4 linked regions of the Caenorhabditis elegans genome follow. The protein of the gene in region 1 interacts with the protein of each later gene in a pairwise test. Each region holds a gene or a part of one and is shown in the gene's direction. Other genes may lie near its edges.

Evidence for each region.
Region 2: the proteins of Y71G12B.27 (region 1) and ZK632.2 interact in a two-hybrid assay, tested with the Caenorhabditis elegans proteins (one large-scale study listed by BioGRID).
Region 3: the proteins of Y71G12B.27 (region 1) and F14B6.3 interact in a two-hybrid assay, tested with the Caenorhabditis elegans proteins (one large-scale study listed by BioGRID).
Region 4: the proteins of Y71G12B.27 (region 1) and tomm-70 interact in a two-hybrid assay, tested with the Caenorhabditis elegans proteins (one large-scale study listed by BioGRID).

Annotation. Positions count from the first base shown.
Region 1 is NC_003279.8:1,796,891-1,800,608, reverse strand, and holds Y71G12B.27 (Cyclin-dependent kinases regulatory subunit), read left to right. Parts: upstream 1-1,886; 5' UTR 1,887-1,963; coding exon 1,964-2,107; intron 2,108-2,957; coding exon 2,958-3,170; 3' UTR 3,171-3,174; downstream 3,175-3,718. Other genes in the region: Y71G12B.5 (Apolipophorin), read right to left, coding at 694-892.
Region 2 is NC_003281.10:9,797,139-9,802,865, forward strand, and holds ZK632.2 (uncharacterized protein), read left to right. Parts: upstream 1-1,968; 5' UTR 1,969-1,972; coding exon 1,973-2,113; intron 2,114-2,168; coding exon 2,169-2,285; intron 2,286-2,663; coding exon 2,664-3,337; intron 3,338-3,888; coding exon 3,889-4,372; intron 4,373-4,430; coding exon 4,431-5,147; 3' UTR 5,148-5,195; downstream 5,196-5,727. Other genes in the region: DNA replication licensing factor mcm-6, read left to right, coding at 1-1,131, 1,179-1,356; riok-3 (Serine/threonine-protein kinase RIO3), read right to left, coding at 5,316-5,727.
Region 3 is NC_003279.8:12,228,799-12,232,860, forward strand, and holds F14B6.3 (uncharacterized protein), read left to right. Parts: upstream 1-1,619; 5' UTR 1,620-1,782; coding exon 1,783-1,838; intron 1,839-1,892; coding exon 1,893-2,088; intron 2,089-2,605; coding exon 2,606-3,454; 3' UTR 3,455-3,505; downstream 3,506-4,062. Other genes in the region: F14B6.6 (Hexosyltransferase), read left to right, coding at 3,914-3,977, 4,026-4,062.
Region 4 is NC_003281.10:8,751,586-8,756,671, reverse strand, and holds tomm-70 (Mitochondrial import receptor subunit tomm-70), read left to right. Parts: upstream 1-1,921; 5' UTR 1,922-1,926; coding exon 1,927-2,043; intron 2,044-2,089; coding exon 2,090-2,393; intron 2,394-2,441; coding exon 2,442-2,524; intron 2,525-2,570; coding exon 2,571-2,734; intron 2,735-2,781; coding exon 2,782-3,063; intron 3,064-3,128; coding exon 3,129-3,201; intron 3,202-3,246; coding exon 3,247-3,309; intron 3,310-3,358; coding exon 3,359-3,651; intron 3,652-4,037; coding exon 4,038-4,184; intron 4,185-4,233; coding exon 4,234-4,372; 3' UTR 4,373-4,577; downstream 4,578-5,086. Other genes in the region: Dwarfin sma-2, read right to left, coding at 955-1,133, 1,319-1,632, 4,625-4,923. UniProt on the Caenorhabditis elegans protein: Receptor that accelerates the import of all mitochondrial precursor proteins.

The DNA of each region.
Region 1 (3,718 bases):
TAGAGATTAGGCTAGTGGTACATCCATACATATGCGCTCTACTGATAATTTGAGTTTAACCAGGTTTGGGCGAGTTTTAAAAAAAAGTTTTGGTCCAAAAAATGTAGAATTTATTATCGGACATTTTTTTACATGCACCAAAAAATGTTCGACCAGCCGTTTTTGAGGAAAAAAAACCCGCCCAAACTTCCAGGTATACGGTAGACAAATTACGTACAGGCCCCCCTTCTCGGGTCGTGTTAGGGCTCCCAGCAGAGTGAGGCGCGAAATGCGGGCCTCACGCCGACCTCCGCGCACCGATGTGTGTATGCAACGAAGTGCGAAGGGTAGTTATTTGGAGCGGCCGACAAGTTCGGGGTTCCGCAGCTTGGCGTGAAACGAGTAGCTTGGTGTGTGCAGTGCACAACGTAGTTCGAAACTGTGGTTGGCGGCCGACAAGTTCGGGGTTCCGTGCCGCACTATACATTCGGATACATGCGGCGTGAGTGACGCCGACACCGTGAGGCCGGCGCGGCTACCGCTGAGGTCGGCGCGGGACTCGTTGCGGCGACCTCATGGGAGCCCTAACAGAGATGTTAAATTGTTTCAAAATAGCACCGAAACTACTTAATTATAACTTTGCGAGAGCTTACAGATCATTCAAGAATCCCGTCAATTTTTCAACATCTTAAGGAAATTGCCTAAAACACTCACCCTTGTCATATTTTCCCTTGCATCCTTGAAACGAGAACCCATCGGAAAATAGTGTAGCAATCCGGGAAGCATCTCTAGTAGCAATTTCATCTGACACTTTGCTCAAAAACTCCTTGACAGTGGTCTCGGATCCATCGGCGAGTCCATGAATAGTTCTGAAGAGAAGAAAAACGAGAAGAAAATAATTTGTCAGCCACATATTGTGAGGCGACTATCTGCGGAAAAGACGGGATGGTGGGCTCCTTTTAAGCGACAAGATGGGCGGTATGATCGTTATGAATAATCGAATTATTGGAGGGACGGGAATTGGGAATTGTTGCGGGGGACGACACGTCAGCACAGGGAATCGAAAATCAAATTTGGAAAGATGGGAAAAAAATCAAGAAATCTGCAAAATTCGTAGAAGAAAGATGAAAGTGTGGGGAGCTTTTAGATTCGGTAATGTGTATTTTCTATAGAATCCCCCAAAGTTTCGAGTTTTGACATTTTTCATAAAAATTTGATAATGCCAATCGATTTCAATTGTTAAAAAAAAGCAAAAGTTGTATTTTTCAAAAATTCAAAAGTACTGAAAAATCATATGAAGTGCTTCTTTTTTCTTTTATAATACTGTTCAGCATGATCAGAAATACCAGAAAATACTAAAAAAAAGTATGCTAGTCAATCCGGAACATATTTTAAAAAATTGCACAATTTGACCAAAAGCTGTATTTTTCAAAAATTCAAAAGTACGCCAAAATCATATGAAGTGCTTCTTTTTTCTTTTATATTACTGTTCAGCATGATCAGAAATACCAGAAAGTATCAAAAAGAGTATGCTAGCTTGACCGGAAGATTATTTTGAAAAATTGCAAAATTTAGTTAAAATCTATTTTTTCAAAAATTCAAAAGTACTGAAAAACCATATGAAGCGATTCTTTTTTCTTTCATAAAACTGAAAAATAAATGAAGTAAATAAAACGATGCAAGCGCGCTCCAATGCGAATTTGAAAAAATTATGCGGGGGCACAAATGAAATTCGGCGATTTCAAGCTCAAATATAAAATCAGGGATTTTTTTGTTGAATTTTTTTTACATCGATATTCGGAATACTCCACGTGATTTGTAAAATAAATACAACATTTCAGAATTTAAAAAAAAAGAATTGTCCACGTAACCTTGCCCCCCCCCCTCTTCCTAATTGTTCCAACAACATTTCCAAAACTCCTCAACAATCATTCATTCCCTACTTGTCGTACAATTAACATCGAAGAATAAGAGTTTTTGAAAAATGGAAGATATCTACTATTCGCCACGTTACGAAGATGATGAATACGAATATCGCCACGTCATTCTTCCGCAAGCCGTCTCGAGAAAAGTGCCAAAGGGAAGACTTCTTAGTGAGGCTGAATGGAGACGTGCTGGAGTTCAACAGGTATATTTTCAATTAAGTGATATGTTAAGATTTTAGGAAAAAAATCGATAATTAAAAAAAATAGATTTTTCCAAAAATCGATAATTCACAAAATTGATATTTTGAAAAAGCCAATATTTTAAAATATTTTTTATTAAATTAAGCAAGGCTCCCAGCCGAGTGAGGTGCGAAATGTGGGCCTTACGCCGGCCCGATAATTTAATTGCCGGTTTGCTGATTTGCCGGAAATTCTCATGTTCGGCAAATTGCCGGTTTGCCGATTTTCCAGAAATTTTCAATTCCGGCTATGTGCCGGTTTGCCGATTTGCCAGACATTTTCAATTCCGGCTATGTGCCGGTTTGCCGATTTGCCAGACATTTTCAATTCCGGCTATGTGCCGGTTTGCCGATTTGCCAGACATTTTCAATTCCGGCTATGTGCCGATTTGCCGATTTGCCAGGAACTTTCAATTCCGGCAATTTGCCGGTTAGCCGACTTGCCAGAAATTTTCAATTCCGGCAATTTGCCAGAAATTTTCAATTCCGGCAGTTTGCCGATTTGCCGATTTCCAGAAATTTTAAACTTCGGCAATTTGCCGGTTTTTTGATTTGCCAGAAATTTTCAATTCCGGCTATGTGTCGGTTTGCCGATTTGCCAGAAATTTTCAATTCCGGCAATTGGCCGGCTTACCGATTTGCCCGAAATTTTCAATTCCGGCAATTTGCCTTTAATGAAAATTTGTTTTAAATAAACATTAATATGTTGATAGAATCGATATTTCAAGAAAACCGATAGTCATAAAATCGACGAAAAAAAATCAATATTAAATTTCTGAATGTGGCCGAATTATTGATTTTTCATACTTTTCAGTCACTTGGATGGGAGCACTACATGGTTCATAACCCGGAGAAGCACATTCTCTTGTTCCGTCGGAAGCGCCATTTCACAAAAGCCGACGAGGAGCGTGCCAAAATGGAATTGTTGAGAGATATGGAAGTGTTCAATAGAGCGCAACAGCAAACGACAGCAACCGATGAGAAATTGAACGCGGTTTTCTATGAATTTGTGAATAAAGCAGTGTAGATATTTTGTAAGACTTTGGGCTTCCATGGGTGAGCGGCGGTGCGTCTCGCGCCGGCCGGCCATCGCCGCTGTTATTTGGAAGCGTCCGACACGTTCGGGGTTCCGCGCCGCACTATACATGACTGAGGCGTCTCGCTGGTCGGCGAAGGCGCCTCGCCGGCGCAGGAATGGAAGCCCTAGTAATACCGTATGTTCAATTAAAAAGCGCCGAAAATCGATATATTACAAAAGTTGCTTTTTAAAAAATCGATATTTTGGGAAATCGATATTTCGACAAAAATCAATATTAAATGAAAATCGAAGTCATAAAAATCAATATTTTGCAACAAAACCCGTATAGAATAAAAATCTCGGCCGCCATAAAAACGAAGCATAAAGATTTTTATTTCAAATTTTATGTTAACAAAAATTACAAATTTGTTTTGAACGTAGAGTACACCAGGGGCCGGCAATTCCCGTTCGGCAATTTTTTTTGTCCACAAATTCGGAAAGTCGGCAAATTGCCAGTTTGCCGATTTGCCGGAAATTGTCATTTTCGGCAATTTGCC
Region 2 (5,727 bases), on another chromosome or scaffold:
TGTCGCGAAGAAGAGCAGGGACGAAGGAACTTCACTGAGAGGTGATATCAACGTTTGTCTTGTTGGAGATCCATCAACTGCCAAGTCGCAAGTTCTGAAAGCTGTGGAAGAGTTCAGTCCAAGAGCTATTTACACTTCTGGAAAAGCATCTTCAGCTGCTGGTCTGACTGCTGCTGTTGTAAAAGACGAGGAATCGTTCGAGTTTGTCATTGAAGCTGGAGCTCTCATGCTTGCCGACAATGGAGTTTGTTGTATTGATGAGTTCGACAAAATGGACCTCAAGGATCAGGTTGCCATTCACGAGGCAATGGAACAACAAACCATTTCCATCACCAAAGCTGGAGTCAAAGCAACATTGAATGCCCGTGCATCAATTCTTGCCGCTGCAAATCCAGTTAATGGACGTTATGATAGAAGTCGTCCGTTGAAGTATAATGTCCAGATGTCAGCTCCGATTATGTCACGTTTCGATCTTTTCTTTGTGTTGGTCGATGAGTGCAATGAAGTTACTGATTACGCTATTGCCCGTCGGATCCTTGATAATCATCGTGCGATCAGTGAGCATACTGAACGTGACAGTGTTTACAAAATTGATGATATCAAGAAGTATATCGCGTTTGCTCGTTGCTTCAAGCCGAAGATTTCGGATAAAGCTGCTGAAACTCTTGTTCGAGAGTACAAGAAACTTCGTATGTCTGACAGCAACAATGCAGCCACGTCATCATGGAGAATCACTGTTCGTCAATTGGAGTCTCTCGTTCGTCTGTCTGAGGCTCTTGCTCGTCTTCACTGTGGAAAGGAAGTACTGGTGGAACATGTCGAAAAGGCTGCCGAACTTCTCAACAAGTCTATCGTCAGAGTTGAGCAACCAGACATTGCTTTGGATGATGACGACTTTGACAACAATATCATGGTTGTTGAAGCAGACAAAGAGAATCAAAGAGGAGATGATAGTATGGATCATGATGGAGAGAAGGAAAATGCTCCGAAGATTGATATAGCAAAGCTCAAAATCTCATTCAAGGAATACAAGCAATTGTCTGATGTTCTCGTTTTACATATGCGATCCGATGAAGACAATCAAGGAGAAGACGAGTATGATGGTGTCAAGCAGAGTGCACTTGTTGAATGGTTTGTTTAAATATTCAAATATTTAAATTTAAATTTCTGGTTTTTAGGTACTTGTCGACAATCGAAGCAGATTTGGAGACGGAGGAAGACTTCAACGTACAAAAGACTATTTGCGAGCGTGTAATTCATCGTCTCATTCACCAGGATCACGTTCTTCTTGAAGTTGAGCAAGGAGAAGATCCAACTCTCTGTGTTCATCCGAACTATGTTATTGCCGACGAATAATTGAAATAATTGCTTCCCGTGTGTATTGATCTCTTATCCAGGCTCTTTTACCGTTTATCATTATTTTTATCATCATCATCAACTCACTAATTTGCAATTAACTTGAGTATGACTATCACCGGAACTTTTGTGAATGAATTTTCATCAATATTTCCAAACTATTGCTATGTGTTCAAAGTGAAAAATGTATGGGCTGCGGCCTAGTTTCATTGACGGCCATGTACTTCTCGTGGACAACTTTCGCAAACCGAATCTTTTAGTTATCCAGATGTAAAATATTGGGATTTCTGTGCCAAAAACACGGTACCTAGTCTCGAAACGATAAATGTTTGTTAAATGAAAACGGATGTGCGCCTTTAAAGAGTACTGTAATTTACAGATTCATATTTTTTTGTTTTTTTTCTCCCGTTTTTCGATAATTCATGTTTTTAATGTTATTCTTGAGCTTGCTAATGAATAATCTTATTTTTATTTTAAAAAAACGATGAAAATCCCTTTAATTTAAAATTACAGTATTCTATAATGGTGCACATCATTTTTTCCTCAAACCTTTTTCGTGCGGAGACCGGCTACCGTATTTTTAGCTCAGAAATCAAATAATAAATATTTCAGCGTAATGTCTGAATCAGACGGAGCCTTCAAATCACCAAGTTTACCTCCATCTCATCATGCTCCGGCTCCAATGTCGCCTGAAAAAATTCGAGCTCCCGCTGAACAGATGGACGGTCCAGTTGAAGGAGTTATTGATGAAATTGAGGTTTGAAAAATATTTATTGATTATATATATATTGAAATAATCATTTTTCTTTCAGACTGCGGAAGTTCAAGCTGAAAAAGAATCGAAAATTTCAGTGCAAGCACCAGCTCTACACTATGAAGTGCCTCCTTGGGCTTGTGAACCGGATCCAGCTCATAAATTTCAGTTTGAGGTACATATTACCCAGACGCGAAATTTTGCACAAAAAATTCGGTACCCGGTCTCGACACGAAAATTTTTTGTTAAATGTAACAACGTCTGCTCCTTTAAAGTACTGTAGTTTTTTTTTCGATATGAATTAAATTAATTTATTAAAAAACCTGAATATGCAAATATATTACATTTCAATTTTGACAAATCGAGAGAAAAACTATGAAAATTCGGTGAAAATTAAGCAGCAATGAAAATTTGAAATTACAGTACTCTTTAAAGGCGCACATATTCTCGCATTTAACAAAAATTGTAGTGTTAGGACCAGAAACCGTAATTTTAATGCTAATTTTCTCAATTTTTCTGTTGATACAAAATAAAATAAAAACAATTTTTTCAGATTCTGAAAGAAGGAAAATTAATTGCTTCGTATGATTTGTCAAATCGAAAGAATTCAACGTTCGTAGTTATCGGAAGAATCAAGCCAGGATGTGATCTTTTAATGGAACATCCATCAATTTCAAGATATCACTGTATTTTACAATATGGAAATGATAAAATGTCAAAAACTGGAAAAGGATGGCATATTTTTGAATTGGGAAGTACCCATGGAAGCCGTATGAATAAAAAACGATTACCACCGAAACAATACATCAGAACCAGAGTTGGATTCATTTTTCAGTTTGGAGAAAGTACTCGAATATTGAATTTTGTTGGGCCTGAAGAGGATTCAGAGCCGGAATGGGATTGTTCACCAACTGAAATGAAGTTAAGAAAACACAAAAAAGAATTGGAAGCAAAATTGAGAGCCGCTGCAGCACAAGAAATGATTGACGATGAAAAACGTGAAAAAGAAGAAGAAGGATGTGGATGGGGAATGGATTATGGAGAAGATGAGAAACCATTGACTACTGTTGAAACTGATGCACATTTGATGGAGGATCGAGAAGCTTATTATAATCAGGATCCAAAAAAGGCGTTGCAGAAGTTTTTTGAACGGGAAGGATTTGATATGAATTTTGAATTCAGTGAACAGGGACAAGGTCATACACACAAATGGGTCTGTTCTATTGAGTGAGTTTTTGAAATTTATTTTCAAGAAAAAATCGTTTTGAACTAAAAAAAAAATTAATTAAAATTTTCACAAGCTCAAAAAACTAGGTAGTTAAAGGCGGAGTAGAGAGAGAGAGAGAGAGGGAGAAGAGAATTTCGCTTCAAAAATCCTAAACTGTCTCAAGTTCAGAAATACCACAACAGAAATACAAAAAATAATCACGAAATAATGATTCAAACATAAAATTTAGCCAACAGTGATAATCACGTTTTTAAAATTGTTTTTTCATTCCTTTTCGATTTTTAAAGTTTTTTTTTCTGAATTTGAGACAATTTTTGATTTTTTGAAGAAAAACCCCATTCACGCTAGTCCCTATGCTGAATATTTAGCAGATCCATGTATGGTCTGCTAAATATTTAGCAGACCCATTTATGGTCTGCTAAATATTTAGCAGATCCATGTATGGTCTGCTGAATATTTAGCAGACCCATTTATGGTCTGCTAAATATTTAGGTTTCAGGAATCAACCAGATTATTAATTTTCAACTTCTATAAAAATACATTATTCCAGGTTACCTGTTGAAATCGACGGAGTTGATCGTGCCTTCACTGCATCGGCAACTGTATCAACTTCCAAAAAAGATGCTCAAATTCAATGTGCTCTCGATGCATGCCGAATTCTCGATACGTATAATGTTCTTCGGAAATCAAATACCAAACTCCGAATGCAACGAAAAACTCTTGAAGCCAATGATTATTACGATGAAGACGACGATCTGTATCTTGATAGAACTGGACAGTTGGAAAAACAACGTGAAAAACGAAAGCAGTGGGCTGAAGAAGGATTTGGGCATAAAAGAACCGAAACAGATACCTATGAGAGTTTATGTAGAAAATTGGAAGAATCGAAGAAAGAAATAATCGAATGTCAGAAACATTTGGATGAATTGTCAGCTGGAACAAAGAAATCTAGAACAATTGATCAAGGGGGTGATGTTCTAGATGATTACATCCGGCAGTTGGAGAAATCTGGCGGAGCGGGAGACGATGCAAAGGTAGGATTTGGAAACGTTTAAAGTGATATTCTGATCTTCAATAATTATTCATTTTCAGACCAAAATGGAAAAGTCAAAATGGCGTCAAAAACTGATGGCAGCGACACACGAATCTCAAAAACTCGAAAAGTTGGTCAAAATTGCTAAGCCAGCTGTAGTAAAAGGATTGGAACAACTGGAAACTACTGCTGCCAATGATCGACAAGCATTCCTTAAAAAGTTGATGGGTGTTCGAGCAAGAAAAGAAATTGATCAAACACCTTCACAAGGACCAGGACCGTCGACTTCAGCTACTCTTCCAGCTACAGTAGCCCCAACCTCAACAAAAGCTGTGGAAGTTGAACATGAGAAGAAGATGACTCCATTAAAAGTTGAGAAAGAAATTGCTGCATCATTGGATTCATCTGAAATAAAGAATTCTTTACCGGCTGTAGATGAACCAAGCTCGGTAAAAGACGAAGTTTCTGAAGAAACTCCACAGAAAGAAGCATTCGGCAGCAAAGTTCAGAAGAGAGTTGCACAATGGGAAGAGGAGCTTGAAGCTGAAAAAGAAGAACTCGCGAAAAAGCAAAAGCTTGAAGCGGAAGAAGAAGCTAAGAAAAAGGTTCAAAGAGTCCGACGGCGTGATATTGAAAAGAAGATCGCTGGATCAGAAGATTACGGTGCAGGTGTTGAGGATCGAGATGAGAAATACTCAACATGGATGCCACCAAATGCAGATCAGTCGGAAGCTAAACAAGATGCTCTGCGAGCGAAGTTTGCTGGAAGGTATTGAATATTGCTCTATCTGAATCTTGTATTATTTTAATGAAGGTGCTCCTCTGTCTATGTAATCTGAAGTAACACGTTAAACAATACATTAAAGTAAACAAACCAAAGGAGCAAAAAATAGAAAAGAAAAACAACAAACGATACTTAAATATAATATTTAAATTAAATTTGATTAATTATACTCTCTCGCCGGTGAAATGCCTCGATTCGCTTTCTTCTCTTCATTATATTTCTTGAGCTCCATATCAGCTGGCCGAGATTTATCATGACGTAAGTCTACGGATCTATTCTCTTCGGAAAATTGTTCAACTTGGACGAGCAAATCATGATCTTCTACCATATCGAGGTCAGTAATCAGATTGAATAGTTGAACGTAGGTTGGAAGATTTGGAGTTCCGATACGAGTGAAGAATGTGATAATATTTTGAATGTCACGAGTGAGGAATTGTAATGATCGTGGATGAGATAGATCCATTGCTTGAGACACATCGATCACGTGAACTTTATTATCAGGAGTTAAGAGAAGATTGAACTCGCTCAGATCCGCATGAACCAGAAGACATTCTTTGTACATTCGACACATT
Region 3 (4,062 bases), about 10 Mb from region 1:
TATACCAAAAACAACTTTACATATTACCCTTTCAGAAAATAAGTTTAGAACAATTTTACCTAAACATCATTTGAAGTTATGCCGTTTGAAGTAAACGGATAAACCATACTAATTTCCACCCCGTGAGGAGCAGCCTCTGTGTGCAAAAAGTTTTGCCAGGCCTAATAATAACCAATATGCAACAGCAGCCAACACCAGAAATAACAATAGCTGTTGCTACTAGGAAAAGGGAAAGGACGGCGGGATTTTGGAATACTAGAGTGAAAGAAAGGCAAAATGGAATGTAATTTGCACTCCTCCCACCCCCTAAACTAGGAGTCTTTTCCTTTATGTCTCGGACACACATTACGGAACTTTGGTTTGAAAAAAAAATTTGATATTAGGATTTGTTCCACAGAGAAACAGAGGCCACTAGACCACCTGCCACCCTTTTTTGGTTACATCTCCTCTTGATCTCTGACGTCATTCTACTAGAATACATGATGACCCTCAAGACAGGTGGAAAATTGCAGCAGCGTGGCGCAGTGGAAGCGTGCTGGGCCCATAACCCAGAGGTCGGTGGATCGAAACCACTCGCTGCTAGACGATGTTTTTTGCAGAGACAAAAATAAGAGAAATGCGTGCATTCTAGAAAATTGAGCCCAAATACTAAACGACTGCTGCCCCTATATGTCTTCATGCCTCGCGAGAACGGAAATCGCTAATTGTTAGTTTAACTCTACTATCCTAACTTCTTCTTTTTCCACCTTTTAGTCCTGAAAATAACTTTTAAAAAACCAAATATTTTCAACCTAAAAGTAGGGAGGGGATTGAGTAATAACATAGCAAAGCTAATAATGAATGGTCACAGCGGTGCATTAGGCGCTTCACGGAACATTATAAATGAGCAAAATGAGCACATTAAAGATTGAGTACACAATAATATGGCAGAGTTTCGGGGGGTTTTTGGGGTCTTAATGAATTGATGGATCAGGAGGTTTTTGGGTATATGAAGGTACCTATAATGCTTGTAGGTGTGATGAAAAACTCCGAGAAAAAACTTGAAAAAATGACTTTTTTTTGTAACTTTGAGCGGTGATAACTTAAAAAATCTGGAATTTTACTAAAAATTATGTATTACAGCTAAATTGTATTAATATGACACATTGTTGAACCTTCAACGGTTTCAAAGTTACAGTAATTTACGGTGAGCCAAGCATTTTTCCAAACTTGTCTCTCAAATCTGCAAAAGCTATAATTCAATATTTACATGAGTTGTTAGGGGAACAGCAAATTCTGAAAATGCGTATTGCACAACATATTTGAAGCGCAAAATATCTCGTAGCGAAAACTACAGTAACTCGTTAAATGACTACTGTATCGATCAAGCCCGTAAATCGACACGAGCACAACAGTAATCAATTACTGTAGTTTTCGCTACGAGATATTTTGAGCGTCAAATATGTTGTGCAATACGCATTCTCAGCATTTTGTGTTTCCTTAATACATACATACGTTCTCTTCTCAATTATATTGTTCCCTTTAACCCTTCTTCCCAGAAACCCAAGTGACGTCATATTGCACTACATGGGTCCCAGATGACCTCCTTTTTCCTAGATCGCCTGTACAAGATTTTTCAGACGCGCAAACTACACTTGATCAACAGGCGCGTCGAAATAGCACTGGGTAACGAGAGACCTAGACTGTAATACGTTTTTTTCCAGATGCCTAAAAAAGATGGTTATTTAGTTCTTTAGTTAATTAGCTCTTACCCAGTGAAGTCGGTTATTCTTTTATTCAACAATGCTCTCGTTTCTCCAATCTTTCTTCAAATCTCTGGGATACGAAGACTATTTCAAGTGAGTTTTAAACCCGTTTTTTCCCCAAATTCTTTATAAAATTGTAATTTTTAGACCCATTGCCCCATCTAGTCCACGATTCTTCACAAAATACTGTAATGAAACTCAAAAGAAGATTACAATTGTGATTGATAGTAACAATATCATTCGTCCCTTCGTTTTTGATGAGTCCAATGAACGTGAGCCGCTTTTTGTTGCACATTTGGGATGCTCGGAGTGCATGAGATGGAATCGAATGTATGGAGAAAACGTGAGTTTGTGCAATTTTTGTGCAAATTTTTGCTAAATTTTAAGCTTATAACAGCTTTGATCTACCATTTATATGAATGGTAGATATTATTTATATACAAATTTCACACAAATCGACGCTTTTATTCGAAATACGCTGTGACGTCACAAATTTTCAAATAATATTTTCCCGCCTTTCGTGTGAAGTGGAGCGATGCGACAGCCCACGTAGTGCTGGACTGTACCATTACGGTTTGATCTACAAAAATGCTGGAATTTTTTGTCCAAAAATGTGACGTCAGCGCATTCCTAACCAAGCTATATCAGTTGAGAACTCTGCGTCTTTTCTCCCGCATTTTTGTAGATCTGGGTAGATCAAGCCGAAATGAGACACTCTGACACCACGTGACAGCCTGAAACCACGTAAAAAAGGCATATGCCGAATTAGTAGTAGCCTGCGGTCTCGAATGTGGGTTCCGTCTTAAACTTCCGACTTTTATTTTTGTGTTTAAATTTAACAAGACAATGTTTTTTTTCAGATTGCTGAGAATAATGAGCCGGAAACCGATTCTGAAGACGAAACAGATTATGAAAGTGAAACCTCCGATTCTGAACTTGGGCAAGACTCACCGAATCCGAATCTCTCAGAAGCCTTAAACAATTGTATTGAAAATTTTGACCAACTGGTCGATGAAGTTGTAAGACACAAGGATTTCCACGAAAGATCTCAGCTCTTGAGAGTTCTCGAAGAATGCCTAGGGAATATGAACAGTTTCCTTCAAAATGAAAACTTGACTGTCGACGATATTTCGACTGGTGCCTGTGCACTGTTGAACGAGACGGCGGAAAAGCTGAAGCAGATGTTCAGCTCGAGTGGGATCTCAGGTCGGAAGGAGAGTTCAGAAGGGACCAACAAGGATCTCATTAAATTTGGGGAGTTGGAGATCAGAGGTGATGAAGAGGAGGATGATGACGACGAGTCTTACGTGGAAGGTGAAGAAGAAGATAGTTCTGACGAGGACTTGGACGATGAAGATCAGGAAGGAGAGTCCTCAATTGAGCCAAGGCTCTCAGAAACTTTCAAAAAATCGGAAGCTCGAGAATCGCTGAGCTCAAAAGAAGCTCCAGTTAAGGACCTAGTTATCTATCAAAAATTCAGAGATGAGCATGAAGACTTAGAAGAGTCCGAGAATGAGCCCAGAATGAGTGATGAAGCGGAAAAGTTAGTGGAAGACAAAATAATTGAAGAATCCGATGAAGATTCTTTTGATATAATTGGGAGAGATGAAGAATTGGATGATGACTCCAATGGCAAAGAAGAGGAAGAACTAGAGCTTGATGTAACGCAGGAAGACTCGGAAGATGATGAACAATTTTTTTCTCTCTGAAAATGTTTTTTTGCTCAACTTAAATACGTGATAATAAATCTGCTAACGACCAAACATTTGAAATTATCTATTTTATTTTGAACGAACCTTAATATTTGAGGTATCATGATAAAAGTGCAGTTACAGACTTTTTTAGTATGATGAACCCAACTCTAGTATTATTAATCCGCAAAAAATTCAGAAATGCCTAAAACCACAGAAATTAGGGGGTGTCCCATAGCAGTTGGGCGCACTGTAGGAACCAAATTGGACTTCAGGTTAGAAAAATAGATAGTTAGAGAAAAATACTTTCTTATCAGTTGCTCTCTTCTTTATCATTGCCCCTTTCGTATTTGCACTTTCTCTGCATCTCTCTCACTCTCCCACTCTCTTTACACGTGAATTTGTTTCCTTTTTCATTGTTGAATTGTTTGAATCCATGAGTTTTCGGTTTCAAATCTGATTGCTAAATTCCCACTAATGAAAGCTCGTAAAATTTTAATTACCGTAGCCATTCTGGCTTCACTGCTTGCTTACCGATATTGTGAGTTTTTGAATTTCTTACATTTGAAAATTGTGCTGAAATGTTAAGATTCTCAGAGAACCATGGAATTTTTAATTGAAGAAGA
Region 4 (5,086 bases), on another chromosome or scaffold:
TAACTTTGTTCACTGCGTATCGATTTTTATGAAACTGTGGGAATTTATGTTATCAACCATGATCTTTCATTTGACAATAGTCACAAAATTTTTTGGCCGTCCGAAGTGCCCTAACTCGGAGCCAATGTTTTCAGGCATTTTTCAGATCTCGCTTCTTTTACGCTTTGATTTGAGGTTTGTGTGCGGATTTAGCTTTGTTTAGTACACAATGTAAGAAAACAAGAAAAGTTTAGAAAAAAATCCGTCCAAAAAAAAATTTTTTTGTCGGTCGTCAAAAAATGCTCAAAAAAGTTTTTGTCGAAAATTCTTGATTTTTTATACAAATATGATGTAACCATGTGCAAACTATTTATTTTGCACATGGTTACATCATTTTTGTATGAAAAATCAAGAATTTTGGACAAAAATTTTTTTGAACATTTTTTGACGACCGACAAAAAAAATTTTTTTTTTAACGGATTTTTTCCAAACTTTTCTTGTTTTCTTACATTGTGTACTAAACAAAGCTAAATCCGCACACGAACCTCAAATCAAAACGTAAAAGAAGCGAGATCTGAAAAATGCCTGAAAAATTTGGCTCCGAGTTAGGGCACTTCGGACGGCAAAAAAATTTTGTGACTATTGTCAAATGAAAGATCATGGTTGATAACATAAATTCCCACAGTTTCATAAAAATCGATACGCAGTGAACAAAGTTATGATTTTTGACCCGGAACTTATTTGGAGACCTAATAGTTTCAGTTACTATTTTTTGCCCAAGAACATGGCTTCGCCAGTTTTAATGTGTGTACCTTTAAAAAGTACAGTAACCCAGTTTTTTTCAAAAAGTATAAGAATAGGCTACCGTACTGCTTAAAGGTACACATATTGCTGTGAGACTGCAATTTTAAGTTATTTTGTGCGTGACGAGACCTTTTCTTGACTCAAACATTGCAATTACGTGAATTAGCTTACCTGTCTAAAAATCTCCATATCGAAAATCTTCAGTGAACACTTATTTGCAATTTTAACAACAGTTGTTGAGTGAAATCCATTGATATAATTACAATTACTAGATTGTACGAATATAGCTGAATCACTTTCACATTGAGCAAAGAGTGAGCCATTGCTACGTACGTAGGTTAGCTTGACACCTGGAATTACAAAAAGTTTGAAAATTTTCAATTTTTTAGTCATAGTCTTGCAAAAATTATGCGCCGAAGTACGGTACCCAATCTCCCGAAAATCAGGTTACTGTACTTCTTGAAGGCGCACGCGTGTTTTGCTCGGCCTTGATTTGAAAGTAATTCGTTCGTGGCGAGGCCGTGGGTGCTCTTACCGTTTCCAATATGTCTTCTTGTATTTTCAATAGTTGCATTTCGATTTACATTCGAAAACAGTCCCAGGCTAATTTTGCTTCCATTGATGCATGGATCAGTGAATCCATCGATAGTTATAGTTGTTGAAGACACTTTAACCTGTTCTCCGACTCTTGTATTCAATTCATAATAGCTAACAGTTGCCCAGAATTGTTCTTCCCAAACTTTATCGAATGGCACGAGACATGTTGGAACTCCTGGTGGAATGTCGAATTTCTGAGAAGTATCCATTTCCTCAATTCCATTTGGATTGTATTGATGAAATTGGTTGGCTCTAGAAAATTATTTATTAAATCCCTAATTAGAAAATATATTGATAATATTTCAACCTTTTTTTCTTTTCGTAACCTTTTCCCTCTCAAAGTTATTTTGGATCCAATTTTATTTACAACTTGCGACGATACTCCGGAATTCCACCGCATGCTGTTTATCGTAAATATTGCCTACTTTTCTTATCACTGAAATTTTACATCATTTTACCAATTTTTCTTCATTCTCTTTGAATTCTCAATTTTTCTAACTTAATCTTAACTTATATCATTTATCTATTTATTATTTTGTAGATATAATGGTCGAAACGACTGGAATCAGCGACCAAACGAAAAAAGTGCTGATCGGTGTGGCAGCTGCAGCGACAGTTGCAGGTGTAGGATACTTGGTATATAAGAGTTTTGGAGGTTCAGACGTGAGTTTCTAGTGTACAATGATATCAATTTCAAAACTAATTTCAGCTGGAAAGGGACTTGGAGGAAATAAAAGCATTGGGAAATTTGAAGTTTAAAGAGAAACAATACGATTCCGCACTAGAAGCATTCACAAAAGGAGTCGAAAAGGCCGGACCAAACTCTTCTGATCAAATTGTCGCAATGCTCTACCAAAATCGTGCAGCCTGTCGTGAAAAGGTTGGACACAGCCCTTTTGATATCCTCAACGACTGTATGGCTGCATTGAAAGTAGACAAAAAATACACCAAAGCATACTTGAGAGCAGCAAAAGCACTTAATGACGTCGGAAAGAAACAGGATGCTCTGGCGTGTGAGTTTCTGAAGATGTTACGAGAAAAGTATCAATTCCTGTTTTTAGATCTTCTTGCCGCGTTCACTTTGGATTCTAGCCTGAATAAGACGAATTTCGAATTCTTTGGAAAGCTTCTTGCTATAGAACCCGTAAGAGCCTAACAATTTCTTAAAGAAACTCAACTTTTTATTCTAGATGTCCGACTGTCACATTGGAAAACCACTCAAAATCGAAGATGTTAAGCCACAGCCAGTAGCTTTGTTCAGAATTCAGCAGTGGTGTGATACTTGGGATATTCTTGATCTTTTCAAAACAGATCTCACCAGATTCGAACCAGAAGTGCTCAGTGAAGACCAGAAGTAAGCTCTAATTCTAGATATACAGTAAAAATAATTATAAATTTCAGACAATACCAACTTGCACTGGAAAAGTTCAAAAAAGGAAAATACGAAGAACTGATTGATCTGCTTACTGAGGAAAACAGCTATCCTCCGGCAATGATCTTGCGTGGAAAAATGCTAAGCTACAGTACTGATCCTAACGAGGCAACGAGATATATCGATAAAGTTGGAGCAAAAATTAACGAACTGATTGGATCAGAAGAGGATGAGGAACGCAAAAAACTAATGAGAGATGCTTTCGATATTCTCAAGATTGAGCTAATGTATACTATGGCAGATTTGGATAAGTTAGTTTTTTTTCTTGATTTTCCAAAATATTTCCAGGTCTTGTCTAATTTTTTCTAATTTTCAGATTCCTGGAATCAGTTCCAAAAGACGATAAGGAAAGACTTTTCAAACTTTATTCGTTTGCATCTATTTTTGTGGTAATTCGATTAAATCATTTTTATTCTCTAAAAATATGGTTTCAGTATAATGGATGTGTTCTCGATACAGCAGTGACGAATCATGAGCAACAAATGATGGCGGATACAGTAAATTTAAATTCATAATTTTCTTATTTATAATTATTTAATTTTCCAGAACAATGCCAATAGACTTCTCACAGAAGCTGAAAAGAACGGAACTCTCACTCCACATCTTTCCATGATTGTTACATTCCTGAAGTTGTGTACCAGCGAAGACTACGCTGATGTTCATCGACGAATCCGAGAAATGGAAGAACTCGCAGAGAGTAGATCTACTCATTTCAATCTGGTTCTTATGTCCAAAGTATATATGATGACTAATAATGAGGAGAGCTCGAAGAAGTTGCTCGAAGAGGCTGCAAGGATTACTACGAGATATTTGGTGCCAAGTAGGCATTTGCAGACTGCGTAAGTTTAGATTTTAATTTTCTGAAATTCGCCGACTGGTACCAGTTGCCGAGATTTTATGAAAAAAAAAATAAAACAAAAAATCGAAAATTAAAAATTTTTTTTGACTTTTCGATTTTTTTCAAAAAAAAAAAAAAAAGAATCGAAGAATATACTCATAAAATTCGATTTTTGAAATAAATTTTGTTTCTGTTGTTGAAAAAAGAAGAAGTATAATTTTCTTTTAAAAGGAAGGAAAATGGCAAAAATTTAAGCTATCGGAAAGTTGAAAAATCAAAAAGTGCGAATTTTTTGTTCAATCACGTCATTAGGGACCAGCCTGCGAATTTTAAATTGAAATTCCCATCGGCTTCTAAGTTCTACGTTAAATACAATTAATTTTCCAGTGATCTCCACGTGCACAAACCAGAAGCTGAACGACTCAGATTGACAACTGAAAGTGCCAACGCAGCAATTGCAGTTGATCCATTCAATTTCTCGGCTCACGTTCTTCATCTTTTGGGAACTAACGGGCCAGAGCCGATGATCAAGAAGTAAGTAAAAAAGTTTCAGAGTTCCACTAAAAAATCCAAGTCCTTTCAGAGAAAATTACGAGCGAGCAATGGAATCAATTCGAAATGCAGCTCTATTTGCCCCACCACGAGAACTTCTCATGTTGAAGAGAATGATTCCATTGATGAATGCTAAGAAACGTGCAGCTGAAATGCTCGATATGTATTAATTTAAAGAATTTTTGAATAGTTGATAGGCTGCTTTGTTACCTGTTTTTCCCCTCATTTCCCCGTTTTTTTTTTAAGTTTTCGGGTTTCTCAAAATCAACCCATCCGTTTTCCAGTTCCGTTCCTTACCTACTGTGTTCGTTTTCTTATTTTATTCTTCGCTTTTTTGTTTTTTTGTTCCCGATAATCTCATAAATACCAGATATTTCAATTTTTCTTCAATCAGTAATACCATATATTTTTTAAACACTTACGTAAAATTAACGTTTGCCATATTGACATTCTGCGGCATTCTTGATCCGCTCATCTCCATCAACTGAAATTTCGCCAGAGTTGGGGGCACTTCTTGTGGTGGTTTCTCGGAATAACGAGGTACAAGAACTGGTGGAAGTACTCCAGTTGCATGAACTCTTTTGTAATGATATGGATTAATGCAAATATCCTTTTGCCCTGATTCGTAGCAGAATCGGCAATCTTCAATTGCTTTCAATTCATGATGTGATTGAAGATCTGGCCAACGATAGACACGGCAATATATCACATGAGGAAGTGCCTGAATTTTTAGTACATAGGATTTGGAATTGTTCCTAACATTTTTTCTCAGAGTGGATTATTTGAATTTTCTGTGAAAAATGATAATCTCCAGCTGTTCAAACAAGCATTTCACGAAGAAGCTTCATTTCAAAAAAAATTGAAAATCGAACAAAAGATCAGCT